Saccharomyces cerevisiae S288C: one gene and its partners. Changing the gene in region 1 together with any one later gene gives a genetic interaction. Each region holds a gene or a part of one and is shown in the gene's direction. Other genes may lie near its edges.

Region 1 (3,080 bases):
TCAAGAGGAATCTTCATAAAAAATATGCTACTAAAAAGCTCTGAAGAAATGTGTAATTGAAAGCTTTTATCCCTAAATTTCAATGCATTGGCATATAATTTTAGATTACTTCCATTCTGCGGACTAAACTCCCGCAGGACAGGTTGTAAATGGCCTAAAATTTGCAAGTCTGATGGAAAAAGGAAAAATGGTCTTGGATGGATCCTCAAAAGAGCGTCTTGTAACGGAATATTAAAGTGGAATATAATATAAGCTGTTAATAATAATGACGTTTCTGTATATCCGTCTTCGCAATACATGAACGTCAATAATTCTTGAACTTGGGATACTTGAAATATTAAATAACAAACATTCAAAAGAATTTCCACAGACTGAATGTTTAAGTTCCCCAAACCTATACTACCTGAGGCAGGGAAAGTCAAATGCAAATGCTCTTGTGATTTTGACGCATCATCGTCTAATAAAAGATCTAGATATGTTCGGATTTTCGTTAACGACGGCATTTGCGAGTTTGACGTACATTTTATGATCAATTTCCACACCTCTTTTGTATTCGGTATGTTATACAGTTGAGAAATGGAGGTTGTCGGATTGTCCGTATCATAATTTAGAGACTTTAAATTTACTATGCTTGTATTCTCTTCGAAACGGTGGGTCAGAGATATATTGTTTTTTTTAATTATTTGATAATTATGCCAATCAGTGGTGTTACCGCAAATCAACCCTGTTTCCTCCAATCGTGTAGCTGAAGTCAGCTTATTCAACTCTAACTTCTCGCACAAAACCATATTCTTATCAACGTTATTGAAACACACTATTTCACTAGGTGACGAACATAAATTCAAGGGAGTATTATTCTTGAAAAATTCGTTGTCTAATAAAGGTGTACCAATCAAAGTTTGAGGTATATCTGTATTGAAATTCTGATAAGTGCAAATAAAAAGATTCGTCTTGTAAAGCGATCCTCCACTCCCTACATAACCCTTTTGAACAAACATTAAACAGATCTGTAAAAGTAGTGCAAGGGTTGTACAATTGGGGCAATTTCCCTCGTGTGAGCACGCTGGCGCTGATTCTGTTTGCATATCAGTGCTGCCACCAGTCCGCGAACAATAAATTACTATATTATCAACCATTTCTATCATCTTGGCACATTGCAGGTCGAACCTTCGGAATAGACCTCTCCTTCCCCAGACGTCCTGCCCACTCCGTTTTAGCGTGGTATTAGACCCAACCTTGTTTCTAGAATACCTTTTAAGTTCTAATGATAGTCCACGAGGATCTACTTTCAGAAATGGTAAAATGCTATGATTGTGACAATAAGTAGCAGCGTTTTCCAAAGCAACATCATCCACTTGCAATTCCAATTGTCGTATCTGAAACTTTAGCAAGTTCAAAAGTTCCTTTGTGTTATTGGGATATTGAAAACCATTAGAATCATTTCCAGTTTCACAGGTATCGCCCTCTCTATGAAAGGAAGTGCGAACTTTCCAGGACTGGAAGATATCATTCACTTCGAGAGAATTACGCAAAAGCGCAGAATTGTTAGCATCTGATTGCGATTTGACTATTGCAAGAGAATGAGGAAAATCGGGTGGTTGACCAAAGGAAATATCATGAGCCCAGGGGAACATTTTTTTACATTCAGGCCATTCTGCATCCTGATGTAGTCGCATAAGATCATGCAGTTCACCAGGTGTGATTGAGGGCACTTCCAAAACCATGGTTGTTGCTCTAGTTTTCTATACCCGCCCCTTCTACCTCAATGACAATCTCTCTTTTATGGTTGGTGTTTCTTTTCACTTTTTTACTTCTTCTTGTACTTTTCTTTTTGAACCTTAAAAACTCTTGCAATTATGTTTCCATGATGCTTTTGAAGTAATAATTTATTTTTATTACGCGAAATTAATGGCCTTAACAACTGCCTGCCCCAACAGATAAAAACAAGCAAGGGTCAACCGTGTTGCAAAAAAAATGTCCAACTTAGTTAAAGAAAAAGCACCTGTCTTTCCTATATCTAAAGTAAAGAAGATTGCCAAATGCGACCCCGAATACGTAATTACATCTAATGTAGCTATATCAGCGACCGCATTCGCTGCTGAGTTATTTGTACAGAATCTCGTCGAAGAATCGCTGGTCTTAGCACAACTGAATTCGAAAGGAAAGACAAGCCTACGATTAAGCCTAAATTCTATAGAAGAATGTGTCGAAAAAAGAGATAATTTCAGGTTTCTAGAGGATGCCATTAAACAACTGAAGAAGAATAGCGCACTCGACAAGAAGAGAGAACTAAACATGCAACCGGGTCGGAGCGATCAAGAGGTTGTTATAGAAGAGCCTGAATTGCATGAGGATGATGGTGTAGAGGAAGAAGAAGAAGAAGACGAGGTATCCGAAGAAGAAGAGCCCGTACACAATGAAGAACTTCTTGATGATAGTAAAGATCAACAAAATGATAAATCCACGCGCAGTGTGGCAAGCTTGCTGTCGAGATTCCAGTATAAATCCGCACTAGACGTAGGAGAACACTCCGACTCTTCTGATATCGAAGTTGACCATACGAAAAGCACCGATCCTTAGTGTTGTTGCTATTATTGCTATGTAATTACTATTCGATGCAATATGTTATACATATACATACACGCAATGAGAACCCTAACCTTGAACTTACTATTTTAAAAGGACATCTCGAAAAAGCTTAGGGATAATTAATATTTTGTAGGTTAGAGCTGTTATGTAGGGAAGAAAAACAAGGGCTTTAAAATAATAATCACATTACACGAATAACTTAATTTGTCTTTCTGAAATGGAAAAAGAAAAAAATGACGACTGTAACATTGGATGAATTAATACTGTCATTATTGATACGTTGTTAATTATAGACAGAAATGTATTCAGTACAATAGAACAGTGCTCATAATAGTATAAAGGGTCACAATGTCCAAAAAACAGGAATATATTGCACCAATAAAATACCAAAACAGCTTGCCTGTGCCACAATTACCTCCTAAACTTCTGGTTTACCCCGAGTCTCCGGAGACGAATGCAGACTCCTCCCAACTAATCAATTCACTATACAT
Region 2 (3,759 bases), on another chromosome or scaffold:
GAGACATATGGGGTAAGTAAAGCTCCTGGATCTTTTCTTTGTTGCCTTCGGATTGGTCCTTTTGTACTAAAGTTTCAGCTTCTTCTTGCTTTTTCCTAAGGTCATCTTCGTCATTAATCTCATCATCGCCATCAATTTCAATAATTTCACCATCACTATCAAATTCATCACTCAATTGTTCTTCTAGGTCATTCTTGGGAGCATCTTGCTCTTCAGAGGCGGGAATAGCAGGAACAGAGTGAGATTCTGTTTTAGCAGAGACCACTCTATCTTGTTCCTCGTTGACCTCGATAGACCTTTTCGACATTATGGTGCTATTTCCGTGTATATGAAAACGGAGAGTAGGTGATATAACTATTTACCTACAAATTCAAACAACTACAATCCCTATAAGAAATGATCATCTCATCGCTAAATTCAGTTGGATTTTATTTTCTGTATTTTTCGCTGAAAGGAAAAAAATTTTCACGGCTCGAACGAAAAAAGAAACGTGATCACGATGTAAGTACAAATGGTACTCTATTTTGAAGCGTCTACGTTATGTAGATGATATCATACTTCCAGTTGCATATCGTCAGTAACCTCATCTTTAGACTGTTTGTTCTTCTTCTTTTGGTTTTTTTTCGCTACTTTCCTTAGCTTTTCTTCTTCAATAAGATTTGATCTATTCGACTCAATATAGTTTACAAAAAAATCACCATTTTTGGTCTTCTTTGCTTCGTTAAGTGTAGCTTCCACATTATTAAATAGTTCTACCCTTGTCTTGGCCAGTCTGTTTAGTATTTTGTTATCTCGTGCTCCGCATTCCATTTTTCTACATTGTCTTAGAGACTTAAATGATACTTCACCGGGATTCATATACCTGTTTTTTCTCAAGTTATGCCATGGTGTTATCAAGATGGTGCATTGTGGCATTTTGTTTCCTTGAATGGATTCTGATTTACATAGCTGCAGACAGTCACATATCACTTCTTGCGGTATGTCATCGATTGTTTTTTCATTTGGGCGTAACTTTAAATAAACATGACCACTTGAGTACTTATCCGCGTGAAACCAAACATAGTTTAACTCCCTATAGCTCCATTTGATAAGTAGATCGTTTTCAAACTTATCTTTGCCCATCACAATTTGGTAAGGTGTTGAATACTCAGTTGGTTTTGATTCATAGAAATACACCATTGTTATTGAAAAGTTGAATTTCAATTGAGCCTTATAATTCTATTCGCTTACTTTCTAAATTTTAAGTATAAGGCAGTCCTCTGGTCTACAGAGTTGTTTTGTTTTTTTATCCAAGTTCTTTGTTTCAATCTTATTGTAGTTTTTTTCCATTAAAATATTAAAGCCTAGGATAATCTATATCCTAAACTAAATATAAATTAAGAGTATAAAAGATGAAAGTAAATAGCATCTAGCATTCAGAAAAAATAAGAAGTCTCTTTTCAAATGATTGATCGAGCACAACGAATGTTTTCAAACCACTGTTAATTTTTTTATAGATGTAATGACTACTTATATGTTCTACGATGTGATTTTGTAGGAATAAAATAAAATTCAGTTTACCGTCTGCATATTCATAAACACTTAAATGACTGTTAAAGTATTCAGTATTTTAAATAATAATAACATAAATTATTAATACATACTTAAATACGAAGCCCATTTTGGTGGGTTCCTGAAAGAATATCAACTTTTTTTTACTAATAGAGAATTTCGTTACAAGGTGGGCGGCTAACTTATAAAAAGCAAAGGAGAAGGTTTTAACATATCGTCAAGTTAAGTTTGAAAGAGAGAACTAAAATAAAAAAAAAGAGAAAAATGTACGAGTACTGCTCAGTTGTAATAAAGAAATACTCCAAGTATACAATTCCCTCCTTCGCTCCAAATGGTTTTCAATCAATGCTTGAGCCTCCTCAGATAGACAAGTGGCAACACCTTTCCGCTAACTGCACTCTCCAATTTCGGGTTCTTCTAATGGACTCTAGACAAATTCTGATCAATGTGGTTCTCAATAATTCAACACTTCTCGAAAATATTCGCCTGCCGCTGGGGGATAATCAAGATTTAATACAATTTTCATGTAAAAGCCCCATAATCTCTTGTAAATATATCTCCGAAGAATTCGGACCCAGAATGTTAAGGAGGTTTCAGATGAATTTGCCAAATGACGTTGAGTTCAACAGGACTGTAGTTTCTTTAAAGAACCTTAATTTTGTTTTAAGGACAGCTAGGACATCAATAGCCCAGAGTACAATAACAAGCCAGGTGCAAGGCAATAATAACGGTACAAAGGTCTGTTTCACAGAAGGTCCAAAAGTTAGTAGCTACACAAATCCGAACACGCAATTTCAAACTCAAAACATGATTATGGATTTCAGTCAACGTTATCAGGAAGAATCTGAAAGAGAGTCAAATAATCGTTCAAATATAACTTTACCACACGACAGCATTCAAATAGCTCAACAAATATGGCCAAACACGGATTTAAATGTAGTACAATCTTCACAAGACCTCAACACTCCAATGGCTACGCAAACTGTTTTGGGTCGTCCTGAGTCGCTAATTGTACAGCCATTGGAGGTTTCTCAATCTCCACCAAACACTACCAACTGCCTTCCTAATGCAGAAAACAAAAAGAAAAAAGTCGACACCACTTCTGATTTTACTTCAAGAAAGGAGATTGCTCTGTGTAAAACTGGTTTATTAGAAACTATTCATATACCAAAGGAAAGGGAAAGTCAGATGCAAAGCGTCACTGGTTTAGATGCAACACCAACGATTATATGGAGCCCCGGGAAAGACAACACGGCGAAGAAAAATACCAGTAATAAGAAAAATATTGATGATAAACTAACAAACCCCCAAAAATCTGGAAATACACATACCCCTGATAGAAATAAAGAAGTGCTACCTAACGGCACACTTAATGAAACGAGGAAAGAAGCATCGCCAAGCGAAGGATTAACGATAAGAGTTAAAAACGTTAATCGGAATGCGTCAAGAAAAATATCTAAGCGGCTAATCAAGGAAAAGTTGAAAGACGAAGAATTCATGAAATGGGTATGTATGCATTTGCAAGAAACTGAGCTGTTTCCCCCTCTTATCCACTCATTTTCTCTGACTTGACAAAGAAATACTAACTAACAACTTTTGCCACTACAAATATGAATGAAAAGGTTAATAAGGTTGAAACGGTTCTCAATAAAATGTTCGAAAAGTGAACCCTTTTTTTGCAATTCCTTTTTACACTAGCCACGAAGTAAAATGGAAAAGTAAACCCGAGTTTCGGCAATATCGCTAAGCAAGAAGAGCAAGCTCGTTTAAGTAAGCCTTTATGAAAAAAAAACAAAATATAAAGCATTATAAAAATTGAATCACATCGCAAATCTGCAATATACTTGGAAGTGTTTATAGCAAAGTGTGGTATAGAAAAAGAACCAAAGGCCGGTATGTCGTTAAAGGATAGGTATCTAAATCTCGAATTAAAATTAATAAATAAACTACAGGAGTTGCCATATGTTCATCAATTTATCCATGATCGAATAAGTGGTAGGATAACTCTCTTTTTGATAGTGGTTGGTACGCTTGCATTTTTTAACGAACTGTATATAACGATCGAAATGAGTCTTCTACAAAAGAACACATCAGAAGAACTAGAGCGTGGAAGAATCGATGAAAGTCTGAAGCTTCATCGGATGTTGGTGAGTGATGAATATCACGGTAAAGAATACAAAGACGAGAAAAGCGGTATTGTTATTGAAG
Region 3 (3,961 bases), on another chromosome or scaffold:
CCTTCTTCTCAAATATCCGTTGGTTTTTTAAAGTAGACCCATGTATTTTCCTTTTAAACGACATCTTTATAAGATCCCTCTTCTTTGTAATATCGGTTGAGGATAAAATGTCCAACTCTTTTAGTTGCGAATTGGGTACTATATTTAACAGTTTTTTGATCGATTCTTGGAGCATCCCAATGGCAATTCCGCACTCATCATTGTTGTATTGGTTGATTGATAGGAAGAGATAGGTCAAACTCTGTAAATAATTCATAAATAATGCGTCCACTATACGGCCTCCTTGGCATTGCGAAGCAGTGCTATAAGATCCAATACAAAGCTTAGCGTAAAAGACACTGGACTTGCCTAGCTCTTCCAATTCTTGAGGCTCAAGGTCCGCAACAGCATCCTTGCTGATTTTTGATCTTAGTTTAGACAGTGCTAAAACGACAATCCCTAGTTGTTGCAGCAATTGAAACTCTAATGATAGCTGATTAAGGACGTTGAGAACCTGCATCTTTTGGCAATCATTAGCTGTGTTTATTTGAAAATTCTTTCCAAGAAAGCAGATTAAGCCTAGACCTCTCTTTAGATAGGTCCCGCTTGTTGTCCATAAGTTATTTGACGCTTGTGAAGATTCATAAGCTCTGTACAATGTTTCAATACCGATGTCTTGATAAAATACGGCAACATTGATTAACGCAATCGCTATCTCCTCTTCAATGAGAGCGGCGTCATTATTAGCTTCGTACCTGTGGGTTAACAAACCCTCTGTGTATTTTAGCCACGTATCTATACATGTAATGCTGTCAGCTTTGGACGAGGAACTGTTCAGTGAATTTATGCAATTATTTCGCAGTATGATTAAATCATTAGGTATGGAAGTTGTTATTTTGCTGCTGCCAGATAATTTATAGGGAAGTTTCTTTGTAGACATTGCATTCTCACGCATGATTTATTTTGTTAGAGCTACTTTTCACTTTAAAGTTCAACCTTTGAATAACCAGTTCTCGATTATACGTTTTTTCTTACAGCCGGTTTACGTCAGCGCAGGAAAATTGAAAACTATACTATTCAATACATAGAACGTAACACAATGGCGTCCCCTCAAAAGTGTACACTTCTTCAAGATGTTACTGCGGCTACATGCAACACCCCTAGAGCTATTTGTAAGGGAAGACAAGATCTCAAGTGTTACCACAGCCCGTAATTGAGTTCGGCACTATTCGAGCGCACAAAAAATCCCGTACTGTTTTTTTTCAGATAAGAAAGACTGAGCCTATATAAACACTACCTGAACCATTTTTAAGATAAAAGTTATATACGATAGAGTTATCCCCTCTTAATAATTGATCAAGAACCTCTGAAGCACAAAAGGGAGCATAAGAGCACTTAGGGACAAACGTATTTCTTTCCCCCACTCCCCTTTTTCCCTTTGCGATGCACATCCATAACTTGTACTTGTGTCTTGACATTCTTCAAAATCAACATGGCGATGCTCTTCTACGGTTGTCCTTTGCCACGAACTTTGTTTTGCGCCTCCCCTCCCTTTGTCAGGCTGAGTGCAAAAGAAAAGGCCCTGGTTGCTTATCTCTGCGGACACGCGCCCCTCTTATTGGATGAGACATCTCAGAGATTGCGATAACGATAAGATTCACAATTGCTACAGACACCCTTGTGTGACATCTTATGGCTATGTAAGCACAGAAGAGAAGAAGAAAGAAATGACAAAGTATTGATGGAAGATGTTTTTCCTGAAAAAAAAAAAAAAAAAAAATCGGAAAAGTGGTGTAGGCTTCTATAGCACCTTCTGCTTACCAGTCGATAATGCAGTTCCAGAATAAGATACTTAAAAGGTAGTTTATTTATATAGGCGCTCTTGTAACTTGTTTAGGCTTATGATCAGAGAATTATTTTAGTAAACATAACTGCAGTACGGATTCTTATACTGTAGAAACTATGGAGAGTCGAACTACAGGGCCTTTAACGACTGAAACCTACGATGGCCCCACTGTGGCCTTCATGATATTAGGTGCCGCCCTAGTATTTTTTATGGTGCCCGGATTGGGATTCTTGTACTCCGGATTGGCAAGAAGGAAGTCTGCACTAGCACTAATCTGGGTTGTATTAATGGCGACTTTGGTCGGTATACTGCAATGGTATTTCTGGGGTTACTCTCTAGCTTTTTCAAAGTCCGCTCCGAATAATAAATTCATTGGGAATCTAGATTCGTTTGGCTTTAGAAACGTGTACGGAAAAAAATTCGATGAAGATGCCTACCCTGAGCTCGCGTATGCAACCTTCCAAATGATGTTTTCGTGCGTCAACTTAAGTATTATCGCTGGCGCCACTGCCGAAAGAGGCAGGCTGCTACCGCACATGGTTTTTCTCTTTATTCTAGCTACCATTGGATATTGTCCAGTGACGTATTGGATTTGGTCACCAGGTGGTTGGGCATACCAATGGGGAGTCCTCGATTGGGCAGGCGGCGGCAACATTGAAATATTAAGCGCTGTTTCCGGGTTTGTTTACTCTTGGTTTTTGGGCAAAAGAAATGAAAAGTTACTGATAAATTTCAGGCCTCATAATGTTTCATTGGTCACTCTAGGCACATCCATACTGTGGTTTGGCTGGCTGCTATTTAATTCTGCATCCTCATTATCCCCAAATTTGAGGTCAGTTTATGCATTCATGAATACATGTCTCAGTGCCATTACTGGTGGGATGACGTGGTGTCTTCTGGATTACAGATCGGAGAAGAAATGGTCGACAGTTGGTCTGTGCTCCGGTATCATTTCTGGGCTGGTGGCTGCAACGCCAAGCTCAGGCTGTATAACCCTTTACGGTTCACTTATTCAAGGCATTGTGGCGGGGGTAGTGTGTAACTTTGCGACGAAGTTGAAATACTACGCTAAAGTAGATGATGCCATGGACATTCTAGCTGAGCACGGGGTTGCAGGCGTAATAGGACTAATTTTCAATGCCCTTTTTGGAGCAGACTGGGTCATTGGTATGGATGGCACTACAGAGCACGAGGGCGGCTGGGTAACTCACAATTACAAGCAAATGTATAAGCAGATCGCTTACATTGCCGCATCCATTGGGTACACTGCTGCTGTAACTGCAATAATCTGCTTTGTGCTCGGCTACATACCCGGTATGAGGCTAAGAATATCAGAAGAGGCAGAGGAGGCGGGTATGGACGAAGATCAAATTGGCGAATTTGCGTACGATTATGTGGAAGTGAGAAGAGATTACTATCTATGGGGTGTAGACGAAGATTCACAACGCTCTGATGTAAATCACCGGGTGAACAACGCTCATTTGGCCGCTGAACGTAGCAGTAGCGGTACTAATAGTTCCTCGGATGGGAATGGAGAAATGATTCAATCCGAAAAGATCCTACCAATTCATCAAGAAGATCCTGCCAATAGGTAAACGGTTTATTGATTTTGTTTCCAGCTTGGCTCTCTTGATTTTTTATGAGCACGTGTTATTTATTCCTTATTCAAACCTTCATATATGTATAGATGTGCATTGTTTATACGTTACCTAGCATTTTAATGACCCTCCTATTTAGTTATCTTTTATCACATTCGTTAAAACCTAGAGGAAAAAAAGAAAACTGGAGGATTTCACAAATCTTCCTCCAATGTTGCTCATTTCAAGCAAAAAACGACCCCAGTGAGGGTTGAACTCACGATCTTGCGATTAACAGTCGCACGCCTTAACCAACTTGGCCATGGAGTCTTTTTGACTATGTTCTCGAGAAAATATAGGCTCTCTTAGTCCTCAACATTTTAATTATTTGAGTACACCAACCGGTAATCGTGAAATAGTTAACACTCTAGATCCAAAAAATACGTATTTAGGTATAATGGGATGTAAGACCGTTTTTATGAGGGTGCCTTATTTAAATTAAAATTATTATTGCTCGGGCCTTTACCTCGATTTCATGGAATTTTCAACAGGACAAGAA

The links. Genes that interact genetically often act in the same process or in processes that back each other up.
Region 2: mutations in DPB3 (region 1) and REC114 together harm fitness more than expected from each alone (negative genetic interaction), as found in Saccharomyces cerevisiae (2 studies listed by BioGRID).
Region 3: mutations in DPB3 (region 1) and MEP1 together harm fitness more than expected from each alone (negative genetic interaction), as found in Saccharomyces cerevisiae (2 studies listed by BioGRID).

Annotation. Positions count from the first base shown.
Region 1 is NC_001134.8:758,320-761,399, forward strand, and holds DPB3 (DNA polymerase epsilon noncatalytic subunit), read left to right. Parts: upstream 1-1,974; coding exon 1,975-2,580; downstream 2,581-3,080. Other genes in the region: tyrosine/serine/threonine protein phosphatase PPS1, read right to left, coding at 1-1,724; PAF1 (Paf1p), read left to right, coding at 2,938-3,080. UniProt on the Saccharomyces cerevisiae protein: As accessory component of the DNA polymerase epsilon (DNA polymerase II) participates in chromosomal DNA replication.
Region 2 is NC_001145.3:534,392-538,150, forward strand, and holds REC114 (Rec114p), read left to right. Parts: upstream 1-1,815; coding exon 1,816-3,057; intron 3,058-3,173; coding exon 3,174-3,218; downstream 3,219-3,759. Other genes in the region: ribosome biosynthesis protein RRB1, read right to left, coding at 1-307; JLP2 (Jlp2p), read right to left, coding at 553-1,179; ERG29 (Erg29p), read left to right, coding at 3,447-3,759. UniProt on the Saccharomyces cerevisiae protein: Required for the production of double-strand breaks (DSBs) in meiotic recombination initiation; not required for mitosis. Plays a role in activation of the DSB nuclease SPO11 at recombination hotspots.
Region 3 is NC_001139.9:730,908-734,868, reverse strand, and holds MEP1 (ammonium permease MEP1), read left to right. Parts: upstream 1-1,941; coding exon 1,942-3,420; downstream 3,421-3,961. Other genes in the region: YGR122W (uncharacterized protein), read right to left, coding at 1-934; YGR121W-A (uncharacterized protein), read right to left, coding at 1,242-1,457. UniProt on the Saccharomyces cerevisiae protein: Transporter for ammonium (both charged and uncharged NH3 and NH4) to use as a nitrogen source. Can also transport methylamine. The affinity of MEP1 is about twenty times lower than that of MEP2. MEP3 has the lowest affinity.